Linked DNA regions of Macaca fascicularis. The protein of the gene in region 5 binds, or shares a complex with, the protein of the main gene of each other region. Links are inferred from orthologs where the notes say so. Each region holds a gene or a part of one and is shown on either strand. Other genes may lie near its edges.

The links.
Region 1: PIGC (region 5) and PIGA share a complex: the UniProt entries of both Homo sapiens proteins name them as parts of the glycosylphosphatidylinositol-N-acetylglucosaminyltransferase (GPI-GnT) complex. The link is inferred for Macaca fascicularis from reciprocal best matches to the Homo sapiens genes PIGC and PIGA.
Region 2: PIGC (region 5) and PIGQ share a complex: the UniProt entries of both Homo sapiens proteins name them as parts of the glycosylphosphatidylinositol-N-acetylglucosaminyltransferase (GPI-GnT) complex. The link is inferred for Macaca fascicularis from reciprocal best matches to the Homo sapiens genes PIGC and PIGQ.
Region 3: PIGC (region 5) and PIGY share a complex: the UniProt entries of both Homo sapiens proteins name them as parts of the glycosylphosphatidylinositol-N-acetylglucosaminyltransferase (GPI-GnT) complex. The link is inferred for Macaca fascicularis from reciprocal best matches to the Homo sapiens genes PIGC and PIGY.
Region 4: PIGC (region 5) and PIGP share a complex: the UniProt entries of both Homo sapiens proteins name them as parts of the glycosylphosphatidylinositol-N-acetylglucosaminyltransferase (GPI-GnT) complex. The link is inferred for Macaca fascicularis from reciprocal best matches to the Homo sapiens genes PIGC and PIGP.
Region 6: PIGC (region 5) and PIGH share a complex: the UniProt entries of both Homo sapiens proteins name them as parts of the glycosylphosphatidylinositol-N-acetylglucosaminyltransferase (GPI-GnT) complex. The link is inferred for Macaca fascicularis from reciprocal best matches to the Homo sapiens genes PIGC and PIGH.

What each region holds. Positions count from the first base shown.
Region 1 is NC_088395.1:15,129,676-15,134,335, forward strand, and holds part of PIGA (phosphatidylinositol N-acetylglucosaminyltransferase subunit A), read right to left. Parts: intron 3,449-4,660; exon of another isoform or gene 3,314-3,448; coding exon of another isoform or gene 3,292-3,313; intron 1,406-3,291; coding exon 1,273-1,405; intron 503-1,272; coding exon 370-502; intron 221-369; coding exon 14-220; intron 1-13. UniProt on the Homo sapiens protein: Catalytic subunit of the glycosylphosphatidylinositol-N-acetylglucosaminyltransferase (GPI-GnT) complex that catalyzes the transfer of N-acetylglucosamine from UDP-N-acetylglucosamine to phosphatidylinositol and participates in the first step of GPI biosynthesis.
Region 2 is NC_088394.1:1,325,179-1,329,838, reverse strand, and holds part of PIGQ (phosphatidylinositol N-acetylglucosaminyltransferase subunit Q), read right to left. Parts: intron 2,867-4,660; 5' UTR 2,858-2,866; coding exon 2,169-2,857; intron 1,079-2,168; coding exon 947-1,078; intron 918-946; exon of another isoform or gene 810-917; coding exon of another isoform or gene 781-809; coding exon 660-780; intron 1-659. UniProt on the Homo sapiens protein: Part of the glycosylphosphatidylinositol-N-acetylglucosaminyltransferase (GPI-GnT) complex that catalyzes the transfer of N-acetylglucosamine from UDP-N-acetylglucosamine to phosphatidylinositol and participates in the first step of GPI biosynthesis.
Region 3 is NC_088379.1:94,070,065-94,074,039, forward strand, and holds PIGY (phosphatidylinositol N-acetylglucosaminyltransferase subunit Y), read right to left. Parts: upstream 1,896-3,975; 5' UTR 1,801-1,895; coding exon 1,585-1,800; 3' UTR 996-1,584; downstream 1-995. Other genes in the region: PYURF (protein preY, mitochondrial), read right to left, coding at 1,896-2,037, 3,509-3,711. UniProt on the Homo sapiens protein: Part of the glycosylphosphatidylinositol-N-acetylglucosaminyltransferase (GPI-GnT) complex that catalyzes the transfer of N-acetylglucosamine from UDP-N-acetylglucosamine to phosphatidylinositol and participates in the first step of GPI biosynthesis.
Region 4 is NC_088377.1:9,909,274-9,913,913, forward strand, and holds the end of PIGP (phosphatidylinositol N-acetylglucosaminyltransferase subunit P), read left to right. Parts: intron 1-227; coding exon 228-346; intron 347-1,629; coding exon 1,630-1,760; 3' UTR 1,761-3,568; downstream 3,569-4,640. UniProt on the Homo sapiens protein: Part of the glycosylphosphatidylinositol-N-acetylglucosaminyltransferase (GPI-GnT) complex that catalyzes the transfer of N-acetylglucosamine from UDP-N-acetylglucosamine to phosphatidylinositol and participates in the first step of GPI biosynthesis.
Region 5 is NC_088375.1:30,040,287-30,045,386, forward strand, and holds PIGC (phosphatidylinositol N-acetylglucosaminyltransferase subunit C), read right to left. Parts: upstream 3,654-5,100; 5' UTR 3,545-3,653; intron 2,421-3,544; 5' UTR 2,183-2,420; coding exon 1,289-2,182; 3' UTR 1,018-1,288; downstream 1-1,017. UniProt on the Homo sapiens protein: Part of the glycosylphosphatidylinositol-N-acetylglucosaminyltransferase (GPI-GnT) complex that catalyzes the transfer of N-acetylglucosamine from UDP-N-acetylglucosamine to phosphatidylinositol and participates in the first step of GPI biosynthesis.
Region 6 is NC_088381.1:135,493,665-135,498,324, forward strand, and holds part of PIGH (phosphatidylinositol N-acetylglucosaminyltransferase subunit H), read right to left. Parts: intron 4,075-4,660; coding exon 3,865-4,074; intron 2,755-3,864; coding exon 2,671-2,754; intron 182-2,670; coding exon of another isoform or gene 89-181; exon of another isoform or gene 1-88. UniProt on the Homo sapiens protein: Part of the glycosylphosphatidylinositol-N-acetylglucosaminyltransferase (GPI-GnT) complex that catalyzes the transfer of N-acetylglucosamine from UDP-N-acetylglucosamine to phosphatidylinositol and participates in the first step of GPI biosynthesis.

The DNA.
Region 1 (4,660 bases), on a different chromosome or scaffold from region 5:
CCATGTGACATACCTTTTCAGTTCTTTCCGCAACATTCCTCCAGGTGTAGAAAGTCTTGACTATGTTATGGATGTTTTCCGGAGCCAGCAATGTCCCTGACTTCAGTTGCAAAACAGCCTTTTCCAATCCTTCACACAAAGATTTTACTGAAGGCTCACATAAAATAATAAGGTCTTCTGGAAGCACCTCAGGAATTCCACCAACTCTGGTACTTACAATCTTAAAAAGAAAGAAAGAACGCATGCTCCACCATAATCATGCCCTCAGGAAGATCAACAAAACCAGTTAAAACATTATTATGAAATGTGTCTCATTATTTTTCAAAACATACAGAAATCCCAACCATGAATGCCCTCAAAGCTTTTTACCTGTAAACCACAACTGGCTGCTTCCACGATCGCCATGCAGAATGCTTCAGTAAGGGAGGTATTAAGAAAAATATGTCCTTGAACTAAGACATCTCTAACATCCTTGTGTTCTAAAGCTCCCAAAAGACGCACCCTGATTTTTCAAATGAGAGGGGAAGAAAGAAGGCTGTGAAAACTCATGCTACAAAAGAAACTTAATTTATAAACCAAGTCTGCTATTTATATGACACTTAAATTCTTATTGCTGCTAATGTTCTCCACCTCAAAAGATTAGTATCACCAAACACTGATGTAATAGAAACAGCCTTATAAAGCAGTTGGGTTAAAACTCATACAGCGAACATTATTTCTAACTTCTGTTACACATACCAAACTTTATCTTCTCCAAAACTAGTTTGTATGTAATAATATGAATAAACTTTGATAATTAAAATGTTAAAGTGCCATTTCTAAACAGGAAAATGGCCCTTTTATTAAAATTGACGCTTTACATGTACATGCCTTGTGTTGTGTGGTTATTGAGGAAGAGACCTGTCCAAATCTGTATGTGCAGAGCAATTTACATGATTTGAGCCCTATTACTTAAATCACTATACAGTATGGCCTGGAAATCTGCAAACGCTTCCAGTTAAAGCAGTTGTTTTTTGTGCCTTTCATGGTGCCTCCAACAATGGCCCCCCAAAGTCAAATTGGGCTAATGGAAAAAATAAAATTGTGAATTCTTCAACTAGGTTTCCTATTTTATATAAAAATTTTGAAAAGTCCTTGCATTAGATTTATATCAATTATATGTATACCAATTACATGTAGGAGAAGCAACACACCTAAGGTAGGCATGCAGTTAAAACCAAATAGAGATAATTGACAACTTCTCCCTCAAGACAACATGAAATTCATCAATACCTGTCATGCAGCTGGTATCTTTCCCGAACTTCTTCCAAAATGATTCTCTTTGGTCCCTCTCCTCCAATTATGAAATTTAAATCTGGATATTTCTGACAGAGTTCAGGTATTATACCACTAAGCAAATCGATCCCTGAAAATATAAATTTGAATGTTGGAGATATTAATATTTAAACTTAAAAAAAATTCACCAGAACTACTGAGAAATCCACTCATTTTGAAAAGTATTAGCTACGCACTCCATAAAGGAGAGAAACTCTCTTAAACCTTTCCCAGGAAAGTGGAGTTGTTCGCAAACTGGCAGTGGTCCCCCAAGACTTACAATTCTTGAAGATGTAGACCTTGACATGCATTACCTTCCACACACCCAAAATATGGCCTATTCTGTTCCATCTCAACAGACTATTCTTTAAGTTATTCATTTGTGTTTACACATTGCATACTTCTAAAAAAGGTAAATTTAAGGTGGTTAAGGTTTGAGTTCATTTTCTCCAGAGCAGGCAGCTGATTGGAGATCTGGGTCTTGTCCCAGCTTTTTTACCAGCAAGCCCGTTGATCATGGGAAAGTTTTATGATCTATAAAGATTCCTATGTACCTAAAGTTTCTTTCAGCTATAAGATCCTATCAGTCTGTGATTCCACCTACTGCCATAGGAAAAGGCTAAGCAACGAAATCTAACTGCTGCCTCCACTTTGTTTAAAACGTGGCTGGTACAGAGAATTTTGCAGTGAACACTACATTATTAGCAAAATTTAAGTTCAAACCAGCTATAGCCCACTTTCCTGGAATGGGGGTAAATGAAGGCGGCAGGGCATGAACTGTTAGATCACTACAGTCCGTAGAACAAAAGGATGCATCTTGGTTCCTTTCTTCTCCAAAATGATTTTCTTATAATATATAAACACAATCTCAGGTAATAGAAAACAATAAAGTAAATTGTGCCCTATTAGTCTGAAAAAGTGAGTGGCTATCCAAAGTCACAACAATGTCAACACTATTTGAGAATCTAGTTCACTGTTCACTAACAATTACAAATCGTACATATTCAAAAGTAAATATAAAACAATCCACCTAGAGCTAAGTTTACTAATTTTAAAAATGCACACACACATAAAAATTGTATTTCTTACATTAATCTTCCACCCCAAATAGGCAGATCAGTTATAAAATAGATGACAGGAGAAATGACATATATATATGTCATATATATACACATATATATGACATATATATACACACACATATATATAGGGTCATTTTTATTAAATAATACAAAGTAGAATTCATTAACTAAACTCTGCTAGTACTTTCAAACTATTATTATATGTATCAAAAATTCCCACACAGCTTTTCTGAATATGAAGGCTTCTCATTAAAATCATAGCTATCTTTGTTTCATGTCTACTACCAAATCACTCAATTAGATTTCTAGATAAACCAGAAGGTAGTTTAATGACTTTTAACATTTAGTCATCTACAATTCCTTCAATCCATTTTCTTCCTCACCCTTTTCTTTCTCATACAAGGTTAAGAGCCCATTCTTCAAACAAATAAAAAACAACATAGAGCAATAGTCATAAATGATAATAGCTAACAGGAACTGAGTGCCTGCTGTGACAGGCAATATACTTTAAATTCATTATGTCATTTACTCCTGACAACTATCTCATAAGAAATGGAACTGATTACTATTACCAGTGATCTATATTCTTATTCTAAGAATAAAGGCTTTTCCCCACCACTATAAAAAAATTTATTCTGGAGCCTCTAAGAAGGGTATAACGCAATGGAACCTAGAGACTTTCGACTGCCATGTGAACACAAAACAGACAATGAAAATCTCTGATTCAAACTGCTTTTAAAGCTCAGTCTAACAATATTTTTAAGAACCTTCTGATCTATACCTAGGATATGAGTGGCTGGGCATGGTAGAGGAAGAGGAGACCTTAGCTCAAGAAAAGCTGGACTCACGTGTGTCATCTCTGTTACTTACTGTGTAACCTGGGTGAGTTACTTACCCTCTCTGAGACTCAATTTCATGTAGATAACATCTACCCTACAGTTGTTGGGAGGGTCAAATGAGGTATTATACCACGAACAGGCTTTATCAACTGCAGAATACAAATGTAGGTTGTCATTACCACTACAGAAGGAAGCGGGCGAGCGTGCCTACACATGCACAGAGTGCTGGTAAATCCTGACTGAGAGCAAAACAGACTGGAAGAGGAGGCTCAGGAAGAAGGCAGCCAAAAAGCCTGGATAGGGAAAACTTTGATTTATCCTCTCTCTCACTTAAGACATTCTAGTGGGACTTTGATATCTGGTCCAATAAACTCCTGAGGAAATTAATTTGTTAATAAGGAATGGACCATTAATAGAACTACTCATTCTTGGGCTACAGGTATGGCTGTTCCTTCTAAGAATGTTACTTTCTGCAGGGTGCCTGGCATCTGGAGAGGGTTCGATAAATATCTGTTTAGTTACTGAATTGAGTACAGGAAAGGCCATACCATCACTCCATTGGTGGTTAGCTCAGCTGGTTAAAATATCACGTTAGAGAAGGAAAGGTAACAGGTTTAATCTTTGTATGGGTTGTTAATTTTGCTGATCCTTGATCACACATGCGTCATACTCTTTCTTAGCTAGCTATCTCAAGAAGATATGCTATTTGGTTAAAAAATAAATTAGGTACATTTCCTAAGTTACAAAAAACACATCCCTAATGTCCCAAGAGGAATTCAGAATACAGAATGCCAGTCGGTTCACACGTCCCTGATTAAAGAATAAAAGCATGTCATTGCCTTCAAACCAGAAAAGGAAGTTCAGGCCAAGTTTCCTTGCCAACCTCCACTTAAATGGACTGCTGGGTCAATCAAGGTTCTCCATTCCAAACGTAAACTGACCAAGGCCCACATCTAGATTTTAGGCCACTCCCTAGCACACTGGCACACCACTGAGCTCAGTGCTTATCAAGAAACAGTTGTGTTTGTTCACACATCTGTTTGATGTCAGTTGTACTTGTCATCGTGTTGAGTAATTTAATTCAATATCACATAAACTGATAAAAAGAGTTTCTACAAAAACTAAGCTGAACAGTTTGAAAAATCCAATAAAGGAAAGTCACAGAAAAAAGTTCTTGGCAGATGAGGGGTGTCCTAAACTGCTGTATAAAACTGAAAACAAATTAAAATTCCTGAAGCATATCAGTTCATATGCCTTTAAGTTCTGACCCCACTCAAAAGAAACTCAAAGTAGCAATGGTAGATTATGTTTTGTGAAAGGGAGTGTACAAGATGCAGCTGAAACCAGTGGCCCAGCACTCAAAGCTGGCAGTCCTACATCCAACTACTGGCAACTCAGTGTGTATTAATATTTTGAGTTAAATTC
Region 2 (4,660 bases), on a different chromosome or scaffold from region 5:
GACCACCCCTGTCAGGAAGACAAGCTCCTAATGGAAGAGACGGGGCTTTGGTGCTGAGGGAGGAAGACAGAGAAGCTGAAGGCCCAGAGGCAGCATGGAAATACATTAGGTCTGCAGAGATGGGGGCTGCACCCAGCTGGAAATGGGCACAGACCATGCAGGGAAGGTGGGAGATGGGAGACAAGCTGTGCCCCTGGCTCTCAGCACAGGAGTTACAGAATCAACACAGGGGCAGGGCAGGAAGTCCCAGCCGGGCTGCACACGGACAGCCCTGGACAGGGAAGGTTTCATGACCTGGCTCTGCAGAGGGCCCCAGAGAAACAGGAGAGCAGCGCTGACCTCAGGTAGGGGCCACAAGGGAGACACCACGACGCTGGGCCCACAGGGCGAGGCGGGCTCCCCAGAGCCTCAGCCCAGTGGCTCCTGCACACGGCCCCTTCAGAAGGAAAGGGGGGGCGTGCCTGCAAGGCCTGCCCTGCCCAGGTCCCAGCGCCCCTGGAGTTCCTGCTCCTGGTCCCGGGGAGGGCCATGTCTCCAGAGCATGGAGAAGGTAGAGCTGGCTTTGGGGTGGGGGTGGCTCTGGTCCGGGAAGGCTCTGCTGCCCCAGGAAGGGTCCCCATGCCCACCCAGGACACCAGGCTCCACCCCAGTCCACTCACGTCAGCCACAGGAACGAGGGCGTCGGCCAGATGCCCAATGCGGCTTCTCCCGTGGAGCCAGGACAGTAGCGTGAGGCCCAGGGCCACGTCCAGCAGCACGGAGGCCACTGTGTTGGCCTTCCTGGAAGGGAGGTCCGGCCCAGCCGGCATGAGGGTGGCCAGCACAGCCTGGGGCCGCAGGAGGAGGCCTGCCTGGCTGGAGGGGTCAGTGTGGTGCGGAGGGGGATGGGGAAGGGACCAGAGGGCACACACCCAACCCTGCAGAGGAGACCAGGGCAGGCCCACACCTCATCAGCTGGGCAGAGTTCTCCGCCTTCCGCGTACTGAAGATGAGTGTGAGGTGCTCCAGCCGGTGCCGGAGCTGTTCACACGTGGAGAGCTTGCTCCCGAGGAAGGACAGGGGCCAGAGCCTGAACACTCTGTGTGGGAGCGGAGAGGAGTGACGTGCCCCTGTCCAGATCCTGCTCCCACCGTTCCCACTGTGCAGGGGACCACAAACACCCAGGCCACACTCCTGAGCTCAGCGGGATAGGGGCAGGTAGGAGGGGCCCTCGGTGGCCCATGTGGTGGTGGGCAGTGCTCACAGCACCCACCTCACAGTGCACACGACTAACACAGAGCCTGGCCTCCTCACAGGTGCTGACCCTGGGTCAGTGACCCTGTGGTCACCACATGCTCCCAGAGCTGTTGCCAAGGTAGCACCTGCGAGCCAACAGCAACTCCCACGGGCCCAGGGCCTCGCCCCGCCGATGGGGCCCAGAAGCCTGGGCAGGGGTCTCCTGGGCTGACTGGGCTTCTCACAAGGAAGAGCACCCCAGGCTTCCAGAGTAGGGACCCCCAGATCTAAGGCAGGGGGCAACTGAGGGTGACCCCCAGCTGCTCCCCACGCGGTGCCTCCGCCAGGCACATGAGGTCTCCTGTGGAAGGGGGCCCTCTGTTCTCAGTCACAGCTCAGGGCCACCCCCATGCCCCCCAGGGCCCTTGGGCTTAGACTGACCCCTGGCCAGCAGCACCTGTGAGTGTGGAGAACAGCAGGGCCTGTAGACCACTCCCCCAGGCACACGGGGCCAGCAAGTGGATGACACCCCCACAGCCCATGAGCACTGCAGTGCCCAGAGGCCTGCTGGGGGCACGGGCTGGGCTCAGGCCAGCGGGCCCGTGCGCCCTCAGGAGTGCCCCCCGGTGGCAGCAGTCTCATCTGTGCTCACCATGTGATTTCTCTTTCAGGGACCTGAGCCACTGAGGTTCACCCTCTATACCTACTGGGAGGGCCCCTGGCAATCCCTGAGGCTGCCCGGAGACCTGGCTCTACCCCAGGGGTGAGGGACACCCTCTGAGAGGCGAGGGTTGGGAGGGCAGGATGGGGCCAAAGCCCGGCTGCAGGAAGTGGGGAGGGGGCCTGGGCCCAGGAAGAGCCCATCTGGGCCTCTGTGCCCACTACAGACAGAGGGACAGGCCAGCACTCACGGAGCGCCCCTCTTTGCCACCTCCCTATCCCGGGACACCTACCGGCAGGCACCAACGGCTGAGACCAGTGACAGCAGGCTGGCCAGCAGCAGACAGACGGGTCCCGAGGCTCGCCTGGCCAGCTCCACGAGGATGCTGGCCTCCACGCCCTCCGACTGCCAGTGGCTCAGCCGCACGGGGCTCTCATCGAAGCGGTCGCTGCGGAAGAGGACCTCACTGCGTGCCACTGTGTCAAAGACCACAGCCAGGCCCCCCGTGCTGGCAGGGGTGGCTCCAGCCTGGCAGTCGGGCAGGACGGTGGGCGGGTGTAGCTGTGACAGCAGCACCTGGCGCTGGTCATAGAAGATGAGCATGACCTGGTCCTCACCAGGGGCACTGGGGGCAGCGGGCGCTTGCCGGTGGGTGACCTCGCATCTCCAGAACGTGCCGCCTCTCTCCCGGCACAGCTGCAGCCAGGGCTCATGGGGGAAGACGGCACCCAGGCCCTCCAGGAAGCGGCCCAGGCTCTCCTCGGGCTCCTGCCGGCAGTGGCACCAGGTACCCAGCACGGCCACGCCCACCTGGCTGGCCTGCCGCACCTGAGCCAGGAGCTGCTTGACCTGGATGGGGATGAAGGGAAAGTGCAGGACCGCCAGGACCACGGCGCTGCTGTGCTCCGGAACCCACCTTCCCACCAGCAGGCCGCTGTCCACCGAGACGCAGCACGTGGGGAAGAAGGCCTTGAGCACCATGCTGGGAGGCTGGAAGAGAAGATGAGAGGCTCGGCTCAGAGCTGCTGCTGCCCCCCACCGTGGGCTGCGGGATGTGGCACAGACGGGCTGACAGGTGCAGCCACAGGGCCACAGGTCGGGGCACCTCAGCTTCGAGTTCGGTGGTGGAGGCCATAGGGCCCCTTGGCTGCCACCTCACATGGGCCATGCTGCTCCAAGGGGCAGCCGGAGCGCTGTCCCCACCTCCACCCCAGGCCCTCACCCCAACCCGCATGAGGCAGCCACGCACATGCAGCCACCAGGCCTGCCCTACTATTTCCAGACGTGCCGGCCCAGGGCACAGTCTCCTCAGCACCACCTGACGGGGTGTGGGGCCGAACCGAACTCCAGGCTTCTTATTTTTGTTTTTAAGAAACCCGATCAGAGAGATGTTCTTAAAGGTGTAGCACATGGAGAGCTATACAATCTCATTAGCAAGGTCACGCCAATTGAAACCGTGACAAACCATGATTCACATATTAAGCAAGAATAAAGATGAAAATTTAAAATGAAGTGCTGCTGGGTTGCCGAAACTACCCTCGTGCACACGGTGGGCGACCCCCCAGGTCCCTGCCTCTCACAAGCCCCTCCCTGGGGGCAGGAAGGACCTGCCTCATTGCTCAGGGAGCAGGCTCAGCGCACACGGGGCTTCGGCCTCCACTCTGACCCCCGCCCACGGTGGGACCCGGGCAGTGCCTGCCTCTCCCGGACATCCCCACAGCCACCCCAGGGCATATTTCTCTCCAGAATGTATTTCTCCAACCTTGTGGGTGCCTAGAAACGGGGAGAGAGAGGCTCACAGGTACTGGAGAGGTGGAGGAACCGCGTCCTGCACTCTCAGGCTGAGGGACACCAGCCTTCCAAGGTGGCCTCTGAGTAGGAAGCCACCCAAGCCCCTGCAGTTCCCAGGCCCTGGGCCTCTCCTCCCCCTTTCTCACAGGTCCCTGCCGAGCCACACAGCCAGCTGGGGCTTCCTCCTCCTCCACTGCTGCCCTCCCCGGCAGGGTCCCACAGGGCAGGAGGACCCCCTAGCGGTGGGAGCACTGCTGGCCGGCTGGCTGGGCCGCTCGCCTTCCTCAGACACAGAAAGCCCCATCTCGCCTGCACAAAGAGTGGAGCAGCCACCCTGAGCAGATACCCCCCAGGATGGAGCCCACACTCGAGGGAAGGACATAGCTTGGCCTGAGCCTGGGTCTAGAGGTCCCAGTGCCCACCACACCCTTAGGGACAAGGGAACAGAGCGGGACGCCTGGAGGTTCCAGAGCCCGCCACGCCCTTAGGGAGGAGGGAACACAGTGGGACGCACACCTCGGGGTGGTGTGACCTGGAAGTCCTCCCCCGAAGCTTGGAGGGGCTCTGGAAGAGGCCTCACACAGAAATGCCTGGGGCTTAAGAAGTCCCTGGTGCAGCTGCTCTCCTCCCATGCAGGCAGCCCGCACCGGGGCTGGAGGGTCCCACCACTCAAGGCCATGGGTTCTAACTGGAAAGAGCCCTTCTGGGTCGGGCGTAGAACTCCACAAATGCCCATTTCCTCAGTGGCCAGAGAGGGCAGGCGGCGGGTGGACGCCTGGAGGCCAGCTGAGGTGGGGCACCAAGGACACCGTGACAGGGCCAGAGCAATTCTGCCTGTGAGGGGCCCAGTGCATCTGGCTGTGTGACCACCATAGGCGGACCACCCAGCTCAGCCCAGGGACTCATCACGCCCTGCTGGGGAAGAGCTTTCACAGGGACTAAGGAAAACCACCCACAGAGATTGTCGGAAAAGAAACACAATTGGTCTAACAG
Region 3 (3,975 bases), on a different chromosome or scaffold from region 5:
GTTAAGACTGAAGCCGGATGGCTAGATGGTTTACATTTCAATCCAATTATTAGCTATGTTACCTTGGGTAAGTCACTTAATCTCTCTGTGCTTGTTTCCTTATCTGTAAAATGGTGCTAATATTACCTACTCCTTAGGGTTATAAGATTGAAGACACAGCACTATGTTTATAATTGTACCTGGTGTATGTTTATACTATAACAACTGATAGCTAAATAAATTATATTAGTGAGAGGATGGTGTTAAATACTAAACTCCCCAAGGGCATGCGTGTCAGTGTTTCCTAAAATGGTCAAACACTCAACTTCCCCAAAAGCTGAAATTGCAATTGACTTCTTGAGATAGAGTACGTACTTTTCAGAATTGTTTCCTTTTCCCTGACTTAAGGTTAAGTGTGAGATTTAGGGTTAACTGAAAAGAACAACTCTTCAAGAAATACCTGGGAACTTGTAGTCTTCCAGGTTATCTGTATGTTGCCATAGGGTAATTTTAACATGTCATTTATACTACAGTATACCCTGAATTAATTCAAAAGAAAACACATCTAACATGTCTTAATTTTTTGATGCAGAAGAATCACTGTTTCAGGTTTCTGTTAACATAAGATTCCAATAAAAATAAAGTTTGTATTCGGTTCTTTGGTTTCTCTGGGTTAACTACTGAAACACACTATACTTCAGAAGTATTATACTATGCTCGATTAGTCTTACTGAAAGTTCTGGAAAATCAGAGGCTATTAATGTGTCGATGCTCATGCCCTTAGTGGTGTTATTCAGCGTCCTGGGAAAATAAACTGAAATGTGGCTCAAAATATGGCTCTAAGCTCAACAGGGCACAATCCACTACTTGCAAGTCTTCCCACCCCCTACTTTCCTAGGAAATGATTCTATTTTAGGTATTAAGTACCTCTCTCAACACAGCTATATTTAGTGCAGTTTTACAACTTCCCTTAGTATCAATAACACTTCTGTGACCAAACAAATAAACAAAACAAATGATTACAAACTGGTTTATTTTTTATGGGAAAGTGTCAACATCTTTATTGCTAATATAAGCATTTAATGTCAAAGAAATGAAGGTAATTTTACAAACTCAATTTTTGTAAGTACATGAAATTTCTATTTCATTATATGGTTTTGTATCACATTCATTCAAATGCATTTCTCTCCCTTACAGGGACTATTCCAACATCACTCCTTTGGAATTATTTCAGTCATCCCTAACATGTGACTTTACCAAAGACCTTGAAGCTAAACAAACAAGCAAAACAAAATTTCAATGACTTTTAGATGAATGGAATAAGAAATAGTCATCACATGTCAATTAGGGATGTTTATCTCCAACAAGACACTGTCAAAATGTTTCTTCTGATACAGCAGTTATAAGTCAGAGCCTTCAAAAAACAAGGGCAGAACAAGAGCACAATAAAAGAAGCACCTGCAACTTAAGCCTCCCACAGTCCTAAGCCTGATATGCGCAAAGCAAAGCCTCTTTCCCACAAACTCAATTCCATCCATTTGAGCTTTCAGAGATAGATGCCCAAGAACTACCATTAATGTATACAGCATATTGACTCTAGTTGCATCAATTATGCCTGAAGAGTTTAATACCCATCCAAGTCCAAAGGTGGAAGAATACATACACTGGTATGGTAATAGGCAAGAGCAGGCTGTAAAAGCAAAGGCTGGCTGTGCTAGTGCAGCCCTGTGGGAAGTTTTCTTCCACAGAGGCTGAGTAGAACAGTCCTGTTAAAGAAACCAGTGGAATAAGAACAGTCAATGTAGGAAGAGACAGAAACATTCTTCTCTTCCACTTATTACCTGCCACTGTGTTTTAAAAGGTATATGGTACTAAGAAAAGTTGGCTGTTGCGTTTTATGTTTTTTTAATTATGAACTAGCGCTGCTCCACTTCTTCCTGCTTCTTACTTTGATGCGTCATCCTAGCTGCCTGTGGTATCATATTAGGAATCCCATCAATGATTGGATAAGCTATTCCCAACTCTTCATTAATCAATTCATTTGTTGATGCTTCATATCTGGGGTGGAAAAAAAAAAGAACAAAATGAGTTGTGGAAAAATAAAATAATTGAAGAGCCTGATTTTCAACAAATACCATCATTTATCCAATTCTTGGTATGGAGTTAATCCCAGAATAGTCTTCTTTCATTAAAAGCAACGATAGCCAATTCAACCTTTTATCTTAGAAAAATTCTCTTAGAATCTATAATTATTCCCATTTTAGTCAGTTTCTCTCATATTCTCTTTTTCACCTTATTCACAAGTTATTCTTTAATTTTTTTTTCATACTAGTCAGAAAAGATCCCCCTCTCTTATCCAAATATTCCTTCATTACTTTGGTCAACCCCCAAATCATCTCTGTTAATTTACTACTGGAATAAACACTAGAGAAAAATCAACTTCTTCGTTTTAGAATAAATGCTAAGCAGAAAAACTTAACTAATCCATTAGAAGGAAATCACTGGAAAAGGTGAGAGGGCAGAAATGAGGAAACTTTGGAAAGCAGTAAGTCTGCCGTGAGCTAGTTATAAACGCAAATCAAATAATTTCAAGGTTTGAGAAAACTGAATATGTTTATTATGGGAAAAAAGAAATATGAAAAATTGCTAGCAATCTACCACTCAAAGATAACCACTGACAACGTTTTGGTGTTTCGTTTATGCGATTTGTAATACTAGCGTTAGTGTTGTCAATATTCCATTTTTGGGAGCTTGGAAACTGTAGAGCTGTCTTCCCAAAAACTAGGTTAAAGAGGCTTCTAAGAAATCTGCTAGGCCACAACTAAGAGCCACCAGGCAGCATACACAGCTGAATTGCTTAAGATTGTCAGGCACCAGTTGTACAAGACACTTTCACAAGAATCTGGAGGGTAAAATACTTTTCATTATCTTGGCTTAAAAACCGGATGGCTTTGGACTTGTCCTGAATCGCAGTAATTCAAGAACCTGGTGGTACGTTAGAAATCATTTAGGGACCATTTAAGAACACAAATAAGCTGGGCGTGGCGGCGGCGCCTGTCTCCCGACTCCTGAGGAGGCTGAGGTGGGAGTTCTAGGCCAGTCTGGGCAACGTAGGGGGGCACCCTGTCTCTTAAAAGGAAAAAAAGAAAATACAAATGTTCAGGTCCCAACCCCCGAGCATTCCAAGTCTGCCCGTCTTGGGGGCTGCAGGGGAATCGGCATTTTTAAAACGGTCCCCGGGTGATTGCAAAGAGCAGCCGGTCGCGAAGCCTAAAACGCTTCGAGCCATTCCGGCAGGCTGGCTATGTGCTCTGGGAGATGTGGGACGCGGCTCCCCTGGCCTCCGGTCTCCCCCGTTCTGCCCGCCGCAGCGGGAGGTGCATGCACCGGCGGGGACAGAGTCCAGAATATGGCAGCGGAGAGTATTCACCGACCTACAAGTCCCCAGTGGCTGAGACAGGCCGCGGTCCACCACTCCCTTTCCGCCCACCGGGAGGCTGCGAAGGAAGGGCCAAGACCAGCGAGTCACCTGAGCGGCTTCTTGGAGAGCGGGCACACCAGGAACTCCAGCAGCGCCGGATCCAAGGCGCGGGGCGGCTCCTCCGTCTTGTTGCTCCGGTCGGCCAAAGGCCGCGAGCCCGACGCGTGCAGACACCTACAGGCGACCGCGGACCGCGCTGCGCTAGTTCCCCGCAGCGCTGAGGCGAGCCTGCCGCGTGCTCCGCTCAGCATGGTCTGGCAGCCGGAGACCAGGCCTCACTGCGCCTCCGCCAGCCGGGGCCGAGCTCCTCGCTCCGCGGTAGTACAAGCCAGCCGACCAGGCCCCGCCCCCTGGTGCTCTGGGAAACGCTGCCGGTGAGTAGGCGGGGCGGGCGCTTTGGTTCCGAGGGTGCTCCTGCTCCGACTGCTTTTCCCACGGACGTCATCTGCAGGCCGTAGGACAGCCCCAGGGCTGAGGCCTCTAGTGGGTGCCCCGCCGCCTTACCAGACTACAAA
Region 4 (4,640 bases), on a different chromosome or scaffold from region 5:
ACAGCTCAAGTGCTCAAAGCATTTCTTTTTGGAGAGTGAGACTCCAAGGTTGAGATGGTGGGATAGAGGACTGCACTTTTTCATTATAAGTGAAACTATTTGTCTCTGTGTACATGTATAACTTTATAAAATTTAAATTTAAAAAACGTGTTGGCTTTGTGACTGACTCTCGAGAATTACAGCTTTTTTAAAGTGTCTATTATGTACTTTAATATTCTCTTTGGCAGATACTGGGCAGTTGCATTACCTGTCTACCTCCTTATTACTATAGTAATTGCCTACGTGCTCTTGTTTGGGATTAACATGATGAGTACCTCTCCACTTGACTCCATTCATACAATCACAGGTAACTTTATATAAAAGGAAAGTGCTGGGGCAATGAAAGAGTAGAGTATTAGCACTTTTACCCAGAAAAGCAACAAAGAACAGGCTGCATAACACAGTCGTGGTGCATTCCTGTAACCCCAGCTACTTGGGAGGCTGAGGCAGGAGAATCTCTTGAACCCAGGAGGCAGAGGTTGCAGTGAGCCAAGATCGCGCCACTGTACTCCAGCTTGGGCGACAAGAATGAAACGCCATCCTAAAAGAGAACACACGTATACACACATTGGGACAGTAAAAAGAAGCTACTAACAGAAATAAATACAAACTTATACAAAAGGAAATATTTGCATGAAGGAATTAAGTTCTGATGAATATGCACTAGCTATATTCATGGAGGAAATAAATTATAATGAATTATAACACTGGTTAGCAGGTGTATGTTCCTATAAAATGACAAGTATATACTATATGTGTCTATAATATGTTCCCATTAACTTTGCCTGAGAGAAACTTCTTTTATCCTGAACAGACACTGTTGATCAAGAGATAGCAAATAGTACATGCAGACCTTGTTCAGAAAAAGGACTTTGGGGGTGTGTATCCTCCTCAGGATCGTTGTGTACTCCTTATTCCAATTAGGTGGATAAAAGAGCCACAACACATTCTTCTGGTTTTATTTTTTTTTTAAGTTCTTTCAAGTCTAAAGATGAAAATAAATCAGACTCCTGAGCTTGGTTAAATTCTAGAAAGTAAGGTATTTTTTAAGTTCCCTGGTATGATTTTTCAACTTTTCAAAACCTTTATTAGCCTCTACAATTTATTTCGAAAATCAATTCTATTATTTTTAAATGTCTTTCTAATACACTGCATTCCATGCATTCTTAATTGGAATTGGCAGCAAATAGATAATTTGTGCAAAGAGGGGAAATTGTTAAGTTTGCATGAATATTTATACCAAATGATTTAATAGTTTTGTGGTGTTGATTTAAATACATTTTCAAGGCCTGGATATAATTCTGTTCCCATGAGAAATGTGCAAATGAGACTTTAATCATCATTGTACAGTTGATTAAAATACTAATTTCTTTCCAAGTTAGAGATGAAAAAAATACTTTACCAATTATGTTTTTATTTTAATAGGGACATTTCTTCTAAAGACAGGATTTATCATTTAATTATGTTAAACATGATGTTTGTCACTATCCAGACATCGGCCTAGTAAACTATGTGGTGGGTCTCCATCAGACACAGAGACTGTAGAAGAAATTGCTTGGGTAAACAGAACTTTTTGGTCTTTTCTTACAGATAACTATGCTAAAAATCAACAGCAGAAGAAATACCAAGAGGAGGCCATTCCAGCATTAAGAGATATTTCTATTAGTGAAGTAAACCACATGTTCTTTCTTGCAGCCAAAGAACTTTACACCAAAAACTGAACTGTATGTAACCATACTAACACCAAGCACGTATTTATTTATACATTTTTGCCATTATAATTTTGGCCATAAATTAATTTGACCATCTCTCTTATTAATAGAGAAGTAAAAAATGTCAGTTGACCTTCTCTTAGATTATATTCAATGAATATTGTAAATGTTCTGAAGTATTAATTGTTAATGAACAGGATAAATCCAATATTGCATTACCATATAGCAGAATTTAAAAAAAAATCAGTGTCAGTATAATCAAGAAGTTCCTCCAGAGAGGCATTTATATTGTAATTTGCAAAGGGCAATGGTGTCCTTCCTCCTGTTTATCCTGAGGGGCCCAGAATTCAAATCCTTAGTTTTGGGGGAGGGTACATTTAGTACTTGTGCCATCAGATTTATGTCTAAGACACAAATATTTGTTGAGGACTCATTGTGTACCAGGTATTTTTCTAGGCACTGGTGATGAAGTAATGGTAAGATTCTTTCTCAAAGAGCTTACATTTTTAGAGGCATGGTGAGGTGACTAAGCAAATAAATAAGGAAATGTGATTTGATGAGTGCTATGCAGAGAATTAAGATAATGTATTCTAGAATGCAAAGGGATGACTAGTTCACACTGGGTGGTCAAGGAAGGCCTCTCAGAGAGAGGCTGTTGGGATCTAAGTATAAAGCAGGTGAGGCAAAGACCATAAGGTGGGAAGGAGCTTGGTGTGTCCTAAGAACAGAGAGAAGACTGGCATTGGCCTTAGAGCATACCAAACGAGACAATGTGGTCCCAGGTTAGCCTGGAGAGACCGGGCTCAGATTGTGAAAGGCTTTGTAGGTCAGTGTAGGAAGTGTGGACTTAAATATAAGTGTGATGAGTTTGAGGCACTTTGGGATCAAGCTGTTGGGAGTCTTGAAGGAAAAGAGTGACATAGCCTGATTTCTGTTTTTTAAGTCATTCTAACTGGTGAATGGAGAATAGATTCAGAGGAGGAGCTGGGAAGGGGACAATAACCATATCCTTACCCAGTAAGCATGAGATAGATAACATGAATCTGCTTTTCCTGTTCCCTAGTTTGTCTCAGTTCCTGTTTTATTATGGTGAGAGCATGTCACCACACTTAAGAGCAGTATGAGGGGACTGGACGTAGTGGTTCACACCTGTAATCCGAGCACTTAGGGAGGTTGAGGCAGGTGGATCACTGAGGTCAGGTGTTGGAGACCAGCCTGGCCAACATGGCAAAACCCCAGCTCTACTAAAAATACAAAAATTAGGCGTGTTGGCAGGCGTCTGTAATCCCAGGTACTCAGGAGGCTGAGGCAGGAGAATTGCTTGAGCCTGGGAGGCAGAGGTTGCAGTGACCCGAGATCGTGTCACTGCACTCCAGCCTTGGCAACCGTCTCAAAAAAAAGAAAAGCAGTGTGAGGGAACCAGCCAAATCCAGCAAGTATAGAATGGTAAATAAATCATGGTCTGTTTCTACAGTGGAACACTACACAGCCGTGCAAACAAGAATGCATTACTTCGCTACCTAATAATATGAATTAATATGGCCATAACATTGGGCAAAAAAAAGCCAGACACAAAAGAATAAACTACTGTGTGATTCCCTTTATTTGAAGTGCAAAATCAGCAAAAACTAATCTATGGTGGCAAATATTAGAATAATGGTTACCTTTGGAGAAGAGTATTAACTGGGAGGAGGCATGAAGGAGCCTGCTGGTGAATTGAAAATGCCCTACCTCTTGATCTGGGTGGTGGTTATGGTTACATGGAGGTAATACATGTTTTTTAAAAATCATTAAATTATTAAGATTTCTGCTTCTGATGCAAGTTACACCTCAATAAAAAGGGGGGGAAAAACAGTACCAGTACCAATGCCCACCTCCAGAAAATGTTGATTAATTGGTCTGGAGTAGAGCCCATCGGGGTAATTTTTTAACATCTCCCAGATGCTTCCAATATGCAGCCAGGGTCGAGAATGACTCCCTTACATGATTGGACTCCCTTATATGACTAGACTTAACTGAGTTTTAGTCAAGCAGGGCAGTAGCTGTAAGCTTTGAAAGAGAAAGCCAGCAGTTATCCGAGCAGTTCCCTCCCATCTTTGTGAGACTCCTGCTCATGTCAGCGGTATTCCCTTGTCTTCCCCTAGGACCGGTGATGGACCTGAGACGGGTTTGAAATGGGTCAGAATAGAACCTTCATGGACTCTAGTGTTTTACTGCACATTAAGCCTGAAATTAACTTTTCGTTCTGGTTTCCAACCACTCTGTCCTCACAGGTCATGAAAGGAACACCAATGTTTTGCAAACTATGGGCAGCAGTGTTTTTGAGGGTCATGATCAGTTTAGTGCAGCAATTCTCTACCTTTTTTTAAAATCTTAGGACCCCTTTATTCTTGTAAAGAGTGAGAGCCCCAAAGACCTTTTGTGTATATAGATATATTTTAAAATTAAAATAGAAAATTTTTAAGTAATTGTTTATAAATAATCCATTACCTTTTAGTTATAAAATTAATTCATATCACATAATTAGAAACAAAATTTCTGTTACAGAAACATTTCGCCCAAATCATTGTTGTAATACTAAGCTGATTCTAAAAAGACAAATTTAGCATAAACATATTTGTGAGAAATAATTATATTTTGTAAAACAAAAAACTTCAGTGAGATAAGTAGAATTGTTTTACATTTCTGCAAGTCTCTTTAATGTCTGGCTTCATGGAACACAGCCGGTTCTCATATCTGCGTGTGCATTCAGTCTGTGACATTAGTGCCTGTCACAAAGCCTCTGGAAAGCTCCACTGTATACTCATGAGAGAACAAGGATGAAAAAGACAAAAACATCTCAGCAGTAGTAGGAAAATAGTTTTGACCTCATAGGCCCCCGAAATATGG
Region 5 (5,100 bases):
TTTACCACAATTCTAGAGGTAGATACTTTTATTCCCACTTTACAGATGAAAACTGAGACATAGAACAGCTGTGGCCTAAGATGTGATGATTTATTTCCTCCTTAGACAAAATGGATTGCTCCCCATTACCTAAAGTATAGAGCCCAAATTCACAGCCCTCGAATTGCTACTCAACCTCCCATTCTGACTTTTTCCCAATATCCCCTCCCAAAACTCCCCATAACCCTGAAGTGCCATCAAATATTGTCCCATCATCGTGCCCATGCTAAGGACAGATGTGGTACAGTAGTAATCTTATGTTGCTGCAAACGTGTTTTTAGCCTGATTAATTTAAACTTGAGACAGAATTTACAAGTCAGATTTCATATTAAAAATCAGATATACAGTTACTGGGACTTCTTTTAGAATCCTATCTGGAATTCTAAGGGTCTATGCACAAACTGTGAATAGAAACTATCAGTTGGAGCACTGTAGCAGGTGTCTCCATTGGACATCTCCATTTGTTCACAGTTGCCATCAGTCACACAAAGCATGCCAGTTTCACTTGCTTCCGTTACTGACCTGGCCTCTAAAGGCCTTCAACACATTGCCCTAAAACCATCTTTTGCCTACTTAAGTCTCCCTATCCTCCAAGACTAAGCTCAAATGTCACTGCCTCTCATAAGTATTTCCTAATTATTCCAGCTGAAATTTATCTCCAGCTTCTGAATTCCCCCTAGCATTCTGCTTATTATGACACATCACACTCTGCTTTGTAATTAGTTGTGTATATGCTTCCGTAACAACAAGGTAGAAACTGAGTCAAGGTTAGGTAACCAATTCTGTGATATTGGGCAACAAAACTGAACACAGCACCTTGTGTTCTAGGATTTGAGCCCTAGATAAATAAAACAGCATTAGCACATTGAAAAGGGTAGAGAGAAGTGACTTTACACACACACACACACACACGCACACACTCTTCACTCTTCATGCCCCTCTGCCTACTGTTTATGTAAAAATCATGAGACAACTTGATGAATGTGTTATTTTTTTAATAGAAACCACATCACTTCATATGTTACAGCATGTAATTCAAGAGGGTCCCAGAAAGTATTTTCATCCACAAAATAACGGAAAGGATAAGAACCCGCACCACCCAAGCCTTTGGTTCATCTTTTTTGTTTTGATCTCTGTTCTCTTACCACAATGACATGCTGCTTCCAGAATGGAACTCTGTCTTTAAGTTCTATACTAGTTAGGAGGCTAGTCTATCAGCTTGCCTTAATAACGTAATGGATGTCCTAATTTAACTGAGGAACCTGGACAAGTCTTCCTTGATTTCAGCTTCATCCCAAGGCCCATGAATGTTTTCTTTAAAAAGCTGCAAGCGAATGAGGTAGAATGGACAGAGACATGAGATAGACATCAGCAGAAGGGCAAAGAGTATGGCTCCCACAGCACTGATGGACAGTAGGCCTCCTAAGGCTGAAAATGCAAAGAGCAGTGTGACCCCCACATAGCTCCGGGGAGTACATGCCTTTAGTTTCTTCTGTAACATGGGCCATAGGGCAAAAATCTGAATGGCAAACGTCACCATGATGAAGGCATGCAGGGACCGGGGAAGACGTGAAGCCAAGCATACAGAAGCAAAGATGGCCATGTTCAAGGATAGCGTGCTGGACACAATGGCAGCATTGGCACCATAGTCAAAAAAGATGAGGTGGCCTAACAGCATGAAGACTGACATGGCATAGATGGTGTCAGTGCTGACAGACTCTGTAAGGGTTTTCAGCACTGGTGAAAACCCATAAGTGAAAGTAATGAAGACTAGGGCACTCTTCAGGTCAGCCCATCGGGTCTGCCCACTCTTCTTCCGCCCTTCACCTCCATCAATGAGATCAAACAAAACATACCCAATCAGTGAAGAAGCCAGGCCAGTCCCAAAAAGCCAATGGGGGGCCAGAAGACCCTCATCCATATACCACCAGATAACCACAAAAACACAAACACTGCACAGCTGCTGGATCACTACACTGGACTCAAATACCACAGCCCAATATTGGTATTTCCGAGCATGGATGTTTTTCCGGAGCTCTTCCAGGAATCGCCGGTCCACATAGTTATCAGGAAAGGGCTGTCGCTCATACAAGACCTTCTGCCACTTGACCTCCTTGGTGCTAGTTACAGGTTGGGCACACATTATCCTTTCATTCAAACTCAGGCCAGTTTAATCATCGCCCTCACAGAAGTCCAGGTGGTTCTTGTTCTTTATGAAGTTTTGAAATGAGACCTCCCTGGAAATTCCATGCTGTGGTTGATGTTCTATCAACCTTTCCTTGTTTTCAAAGGCAGCAACCCAGGCTAGGCCTACAACAGATGAATTTGTCTCTGAGGCAGGACAACACAGCCAAGTTCCTAGAAAAAGAGAGACTGTGAACCTACAAAAGTTGTGAAAGGTCAAGAGTAGTACTGAGTTAAAGTCAAATCAACTCAGTTTACTAAAAGTCTGAGCAAAATGTATGTGGTAGTCACCTTATTAATTTGGGACATTAAAACTGCATTTCAGACTTGAAAATTATAATTCCTTGAATAATAAAAGACATCTGTTAGCTATCATTTATTGAGTGCCTACTATGTGCTAAATGCCTTATGTATCTTCTTTCACTTAATCCTCACAACCTTGCAAGTTAGTATTAGTCCTGCTTTGGTAAAAAAGCTGAGATTCAAGATGCTTAAGTAACTTTGCCCTAAAGTAACAGAGCAGAGCCAGGATTCAAACCAAAGTCTTATCCCAAAGCCTGTGTCTGACACTGTATCTCCCTCTAAACCAGTTCTTAACTCAGTGGTTCACATACCCCTTCGGTGTATCACATTGCATGTTTATATCCGGATTTGTGTGAATTTATACGGATAATATCCATAGCTTTTATTGGTTCTCAAAGGCATGTTATATTTTTTAAATTACCAATCCAAAGACAATAGTAAGCTGCACCATACAGAAAGGTATGAGCTCTACAGTTTGTTTAGCCAAAATCAAAGACTCAAAGAAACTAGACTCTTCTTCCATTAGCTGAGCTTAGCATCCTTTAAAGAGCTATCAGTCTACTCAAAACAAGGAAACTCTTGTGAGGATCCAGAAAGGTAATCATCCCTTTTTCACAATGAGAAAACTAAGAGTCAGAAACACCACAGGCATCCGGCAAATTTAAGGAAAAAAAATTTCATATTGCCCGACTTTATTTTTTCCATGAAGACCACGACAAGTGTTGCTTGGCAGGCCAGACACCGTTACCCCGCTCTCTGCAGCAGGGATCCCAGCCCGGGAATCTTAAGGCCGCCGCCGAGGCTGGAGGGTTCGCGACGCCCAAAAGGGCAGCGCCCGCCCGCAGAGTGGGGCTGGGAGGGGACAGGGTAGGGTAGGGTAGGGTAGGGTGACCCCAGGGGTGCGCCTTCACTCTCCGGGCCTCCCACTCCAGCCGCCACCCCTCACTCAGCCTTGAGCCTGCGAGAGACAGCAGAGGAGAAGGAGCCCCGGAAACACTGACAGTTACACGGAACCCACCTGCCCGAGAGTTCCTAGGGATGCGCAGCTGGGGGACGGCGGCACCCAGCCTTTTTCCCGCTCCGGGGCGCAGGGGCTGCGACTGTGGCGGAGCACTTCCGGGTCTGCCGCAATCTCCTCAGCGAGAGCACCCTTCCCCAGCCGGAACCATCGCGACGTGGCTGCTGCCCCCTCCTGGCTGCTCAGAGGACCTCCGGACTCCTCTCCTGCAGACTGGCCCAAACCCGAATGCTCTGAGCCTAGGAAGGCAAATCTCCAGCAATCCCCTATTGAAAGATGGGATGTGCCATCTGAAGGGCTGGGTAAGGCAGGAGAGGACAAGGAAAGAGGCTGGGCCAGTGGGTGAGAGATAATGGCAGCTTTTGTTGCGCTCCTTTTATTAAGTCAGGCCCTCAGCTGGGACTTCCCATGCATCCATGCGTTCATTCCACAGATACTGACTGAATGCCTGCAGGTAACAAGCCCTCCTTGGGGGTGCTCATGATACAGCCGTGAATGAAACAGACAAAAATTGCTGCTCTCATGAAACTCTCTTTTTTGGTACATTGACCTTTACACTGATTATATCATCTTCTCCCTCAAAGAGGACAAATCTAAGGCTCAGATAAGTTGAATTTGTCCAAGGACAGGCACCTGGGAAGTAGATGAACAGAGATCAATATCCAGTTGTCCATAGATTCAAAGCTTGGTTCTTTCCTCTTTAACTCCTAAAAGAGGAAAGGAGAAGATTGCTAATTAAACTGAGTTCATAGAAATATTAAAGGATGTATAAACAAAGGAAATAATAAACAAAGGGATGTAGTAAAACACGGGATACAGTGGATACAAAAGTCAGAAAACATGACCCATTTACTAGCTCAGTGACTCAAGGCAAATCACACTACCTGACCTTGGATTTCTTCATTAGTAAAATGGAGATGACATTATTTGCACTTGGCTACTGTATAAGATGGTCAAAGAGTCAAATATAAAATATAAAAATGTTTTGTAAAGTGTTCACTATATGGCTGCTATTAGCTGACTTCGGCCATCGTAATGATAGCAATGTTTAAGTGTGATACATTCTGTAAAATGTTCTCTATTTCCCTCTAGGCTTCTGTTGCAAAATTTGACAAGATTCCTTGGCTTAGTGAGGCCAGCCTCGTAAACAAGCCACTAGTGCTCAGCCTCCCCAGAAGGTAACCTCTCAGCCACTGAGGGCAAAAGATTTACGAAACATCTCACAGAAGATGATTTCTTCTTAAGGGATGATAATTATACAATTATCAGAGGGCGCATTTGATCCATTGAGAAACTCAAGTCAAGTGCTTTAAAAATAGAAATATTCCAGGTTTCTCAGACAAAAATGATCACTGAGTATAGATCTGGCTAGAGGAGATGAGATCTCAAATTATTTCCCTCTACCACTCAACAGTATAAGATAATTTTGTCGCTAGACACTGTCACTTAAAACACTTCCATCCTCTTTCTCACCCCACCTTTTCTCCACTGCTGTAGTCTGAAATTTTCACATTTTTACCATCAAAAGTCTAGAACAGTAAGTTCCCATCTTTATA
Region 6 (4,660 bases), on a different chromosome or scaffold from region 5:
CTGATGGTTTAGAGTACAGAAAACCAGCCCCTATGGTTTAAGAGTCATCTCCCATGGAAGACAATGCTGGCCTTCTGAACGCTGGGGCTCATGGGCTTGTTGATGTGGCTTTCTGGTGTGCCAGGATCTCCTGGCAGCTCCTGTATACTTCAATCAAGCAGTCCAGCCGGGGCTTAGCACTCTGAATTCCAAAGGGGAGAAATGCAGAGTCAAAGTGAACATAAGGGAGTACAGTGGAGATGCATCAACTTGCAACTTTTTTTTGAGACAGAGTTTTGCTCTGTTGCCCAGGCTGGAGTGCAGTGGTACAATCTCGGCTCACTGCAACTTCTGCCTCCCAGGTTCAAGCAGTTCTCCTGCTTCAGCCTCCCGAGTAGCTGGGATTACAGGTGCTCGCCACCACACCCAGTGGCACAATCTCGGCTCACTGCAACCTCTGCATCCTGGGTTCAAATGATTCTTGTGTCTCAGCCTCCCGAGTAGCTGGGACTACAGGCACGAACCACCATGCCCAGCTAATTTTTGTATTTTTAGTAGAGACAGGGTTTCACCATGTTGGCCAGGCTGCTCTTAAACTCCTGGCCTTAAGTGATCCGCCCACCTTGGCCTCCCAAAGTGCTGGGATTATAGGCTTGAGCCATGGTACTGGGCCCACATGCAACTTCAATCTCTCACCCACATCAAGGGGTATAAATGGCACAGCAGTGAGCTCAGGGAGTTAAGTTTAGGCCTCAGCACACCTTGCTGGGAAGAGTCCCAGCTAGGCTCACAGCCCACCTTGTGAATTGTGTGAAGTGGGAGATCAAATGATAGCTTTTTCATCTGTCTAAGTTTCATGAACTCCATCTCTAAGAGTAAGCAAAGAGGAAAAACAAAATGGACCCTCAAGAAATGTCACACGTTATAAAATAGCCCTCAAAGACAAGAAGGGCAGTTTAATATGTAAATATTGAAAAATGTTTTGTACAATGAAATGTAATAACCAAAATTAAAAGAAAAACCACAGAATGGGAAAAATATATGTGAAAGTATATTTAATAAAAGTATACTACCTAAAATATATAAAGATTGTTAAAAATATATAAAAACAGGTACAAATACATAATATTCAGATTCTTCTTGACTAATAGAGAAGATAGGTAGTTTAAAATAAGAGGAAATACTGATAGGTAATACAAGGAAATATGAAAAGCCTATCATTTAAAGAGATACAAATTTACCTATTTAAAATGCCTTTACCTACATATTAAGCTAAAAAAGCTAAATCCACTATTAGCCAGGATGGTAGAAAAAGAAGTACAAAAGCCCCAAAGTATGGTAATGTTGTCCAATCTCTGGAGCCCCATCTTAAACACTAGAAGTCTATAAAACTATTCATAAGCTTTAATAAAATAATTTTTAATTATAATGCAAAATAATATTTTAACTTAGCTATCTTAAATCCTTTGTGAAAAAGGTCAGTGAGGCAGGGTTAACTATATACATAAATACGTGCATAAATACCTACCTCTAAAATAATTTACTTCGTAATTTATTATGTTTGTATAATTTATTATGTTTGTATAATTTTTGTTTTGTTTTTTGAGATGGATCTCTGTCACCCAGGCTGAGTACAGTGGCATGATCACAGCTCACTGCAGCCTTGACCTCCTCGGCTCAAGCAATCCTCCCACCTCAGCTTCCTGAGTAGCTGGGACCACAGATGTGTGCCACCACGCTCAGCTAATTTTGGTATTTTTTGTAGAGATGGGGGTTTTACCATGTTGCCCAGGCTGGTCTCGAACTCCTGAGCTCAAGCGATCTGCTGCCTCAGCCTCCCAAAGTGTTGGGATTACAGGCGTGAGCCACTGCACCAGCTGATAAGTGGTTTTTTTTTTTGTAAGAGCAAAACAAAAAACTCCAGGCAGGATTTTAAAAGGTGGCAAGAGTGGCTAAATAAACTGACATTTCAATATATTATACAATATAGTTATTTAAAATAATAAATATAATGGCCTTTGTAGGACACATACATATTATTTACAAAGCAAGACACACAATAGCATACAATGTGAGATCAATGACCTCTATCTAAAAAACTGTACATTAGTAGACTGACAGAGTCAAAGTAGATGAATAGTGATTTGTAGGCAGAGGTTGCTATATATTTGATTGTGCTCTTTAAAATGTGCATGAGGCCAGGTGTGCTGGCTCATGCTTGTAATCCCTACACTTTGGGAGGCTGAGGCAGGAGAATTGCTTGAACTCAGGAGTTCAAGATCAGCCTAGGCAATATGGCAAGACCTCATCTCTACTAAAAAGAAAAAAAAAAGTTAGCCAGGTGTGGTGGTGCACACCTGTAGTCCCAAGTACTCAGGAGACTGAGGCAGGAGGATTTCTTGAGCCTAGGAGGTGGGGGCTGCAATGAGTGACGATCACACCACTGCAAGCCAGCCTAGGTGACAAAGTGAGACTCTGTCTCATAAAATAAAATAAAATAATAAAATATGCAGGAATAATATTTTTAAGGACTATATTTGCCTCAGAGAGGAACTTCTCAAATAACTGAAATCCTAATTATCACTCAAAACAGCTGTCAGGTGTCTTCCAATACTCTGAAAAAAGGAATTTACATTCCTACAGAAAAGGTTGAGGATTAATTGGACAACGGTAAAAGTGTTCTATGCTCACCTGGAAGACAGGTACTACTTGGGATATCCTATGTGGTTCCACTGGATCCTTCAATAAGATGCAGAGGTAGTAAATCACCTTCTGCTGTAAGAAAATAAATCAAATAGCAAAGTCTAAGTGAAACTCATTTTGCATTCCTTTTTTCTTTTTCTTTTTCTTTTTTTGAGACAGAGTCTCACTCTGTTGCCCAAGCTGGAGTACAGTGGTGCAATCTTGGCTCACTGCAACCTCCACCTCCCGGGTTCAAGCAATTCTCCTGCCTCAGCCTCCCAAGTAGCTGGGATTACAGGTGCTTGCCACCATGCCTGGCTAATTTTTTGTATTTTCAGTAGAGATGGGGTTTCACCATGTTGGCCAGGCTGGTCTGGAACTCCCGACCTCAGGTGATCCACCCGCCTTGGCCTCCCAAAGTGCTGGGATTACAGGCGTGAGCCACTGCGCCTGGCCACATTCTTTTTTTCTAAGGTAAGGCTCAACGCTTTTTCACAAATGGTTAAGTAGTAGAACACTTGATAGCTTTTGAAGTGGGAGAAAAGTATATTCTTGTTCCTTAAATGAAAAAAGACAGGGCCAGGCATAGTGGCTCAAACCTGTAAACTGAACACTTGGGGAGGCCACAGCAGGAGGAGGGCTTGAGCCCAGGAATTCAAGACCAGCTTAGGCAACATAGTGAGACTCCATCTCTACAAAAAATAGAAAAAACGAGCTAAGCATGGTGGTGCATGCCTGTAGTCCCAGCTACTCAGGAGGCTGAGGTGGGAGGATGGCTTGAGCCTGGGAAGTTGGGGCTGCAGTGAGCTGTGATTAAGCCACTACACTCCAGCCTGGGTAACAGACAGGGTCTCACAAAAAAAGAAAAAAGAAAGAAAGAGAAGGAAAAAATGCCAGTGATAATTTTGGAGTTGGTCTTGAAGATAAAGTTGAAATACTAATTCTCTATCCATGAAAACCTGCTGCATCTCTTTAAAAATAAGGAGATTTACCTTTTACATATAAGTCTCACTTTTATGGTTTATAGACATGCCAGCCAAAAAGAAAACTCTAGTACTGTAAGTACTAGAGCAGAGGATCTTCATGTTTAATTCTGTGACATCAAGTACTTTAGGTATTAAGGCTCAGTATAGATCTGGGAACACCCCATGGGCTGGCTACCTCCTCCAGAGAGGACTGTAATACTGCCTTTCAAATACTTACCATGTAGATAGCCTCATTGATGACAATATCCTTGACCTTGCCCATTTCTATGAAGGTAGTGCTTTCTTTGCCTGAAGCATAAGATGAAGTCATCTGAATGCCAAGGGAATCAATGATTAACAGAGTCTCCTGATCAATCTTCACAAAATGGAGATAACCAAGCAGACCTAAGAGGGTGATGAAGATGGCAGCAGAGAGGATCATGCTGTTCTGAAGAGAGAGCCAGACACAGGCAGTAAGATTACCAAGTGGTACCAGTCAACTCCAGGCAAAGAGGAAAAAAGCCTTTCTTCTCTTGTCAGATGAGGGGAACATGCATGGAGGAAAAGGAAATTGCTTTTATTTGGGTTCTGAGGTGCTATAAAAGTATACAGTGAAACAGATCCAGACAACAAATGGATAGGTCTGGGGAAAACCTCCATCAGCAAAATGTCCACCATCATCACAGCAATCTCAGAAACTATTTTTCCAAAATTCCAAATTAAGGGCCCAAATCAACTGAATGCAGTAGCTTGCACCTGTAATTCCAGCTACTAGGGAGACTGAGGCAGGAGGATCACTTGAGCCCAGGAATTTGAGGGTGCAGTGAGCTATGATCATACAACTGCACTCTAGCTTGGGTACCAGAATATGACACTGTATCTTTAAAAAAAGAAAGGACCCAGCCAGGCGTAGTGGCTCAAGCCTGTAATCCTAGCACTTCTGGAGGCCAAGGCAGGCGGATCACAAGATCAAGAGATTGAGACCATCCTGGCCAACATGGTGAAACCCCGTCTCTACTAAAAATACAAAAATT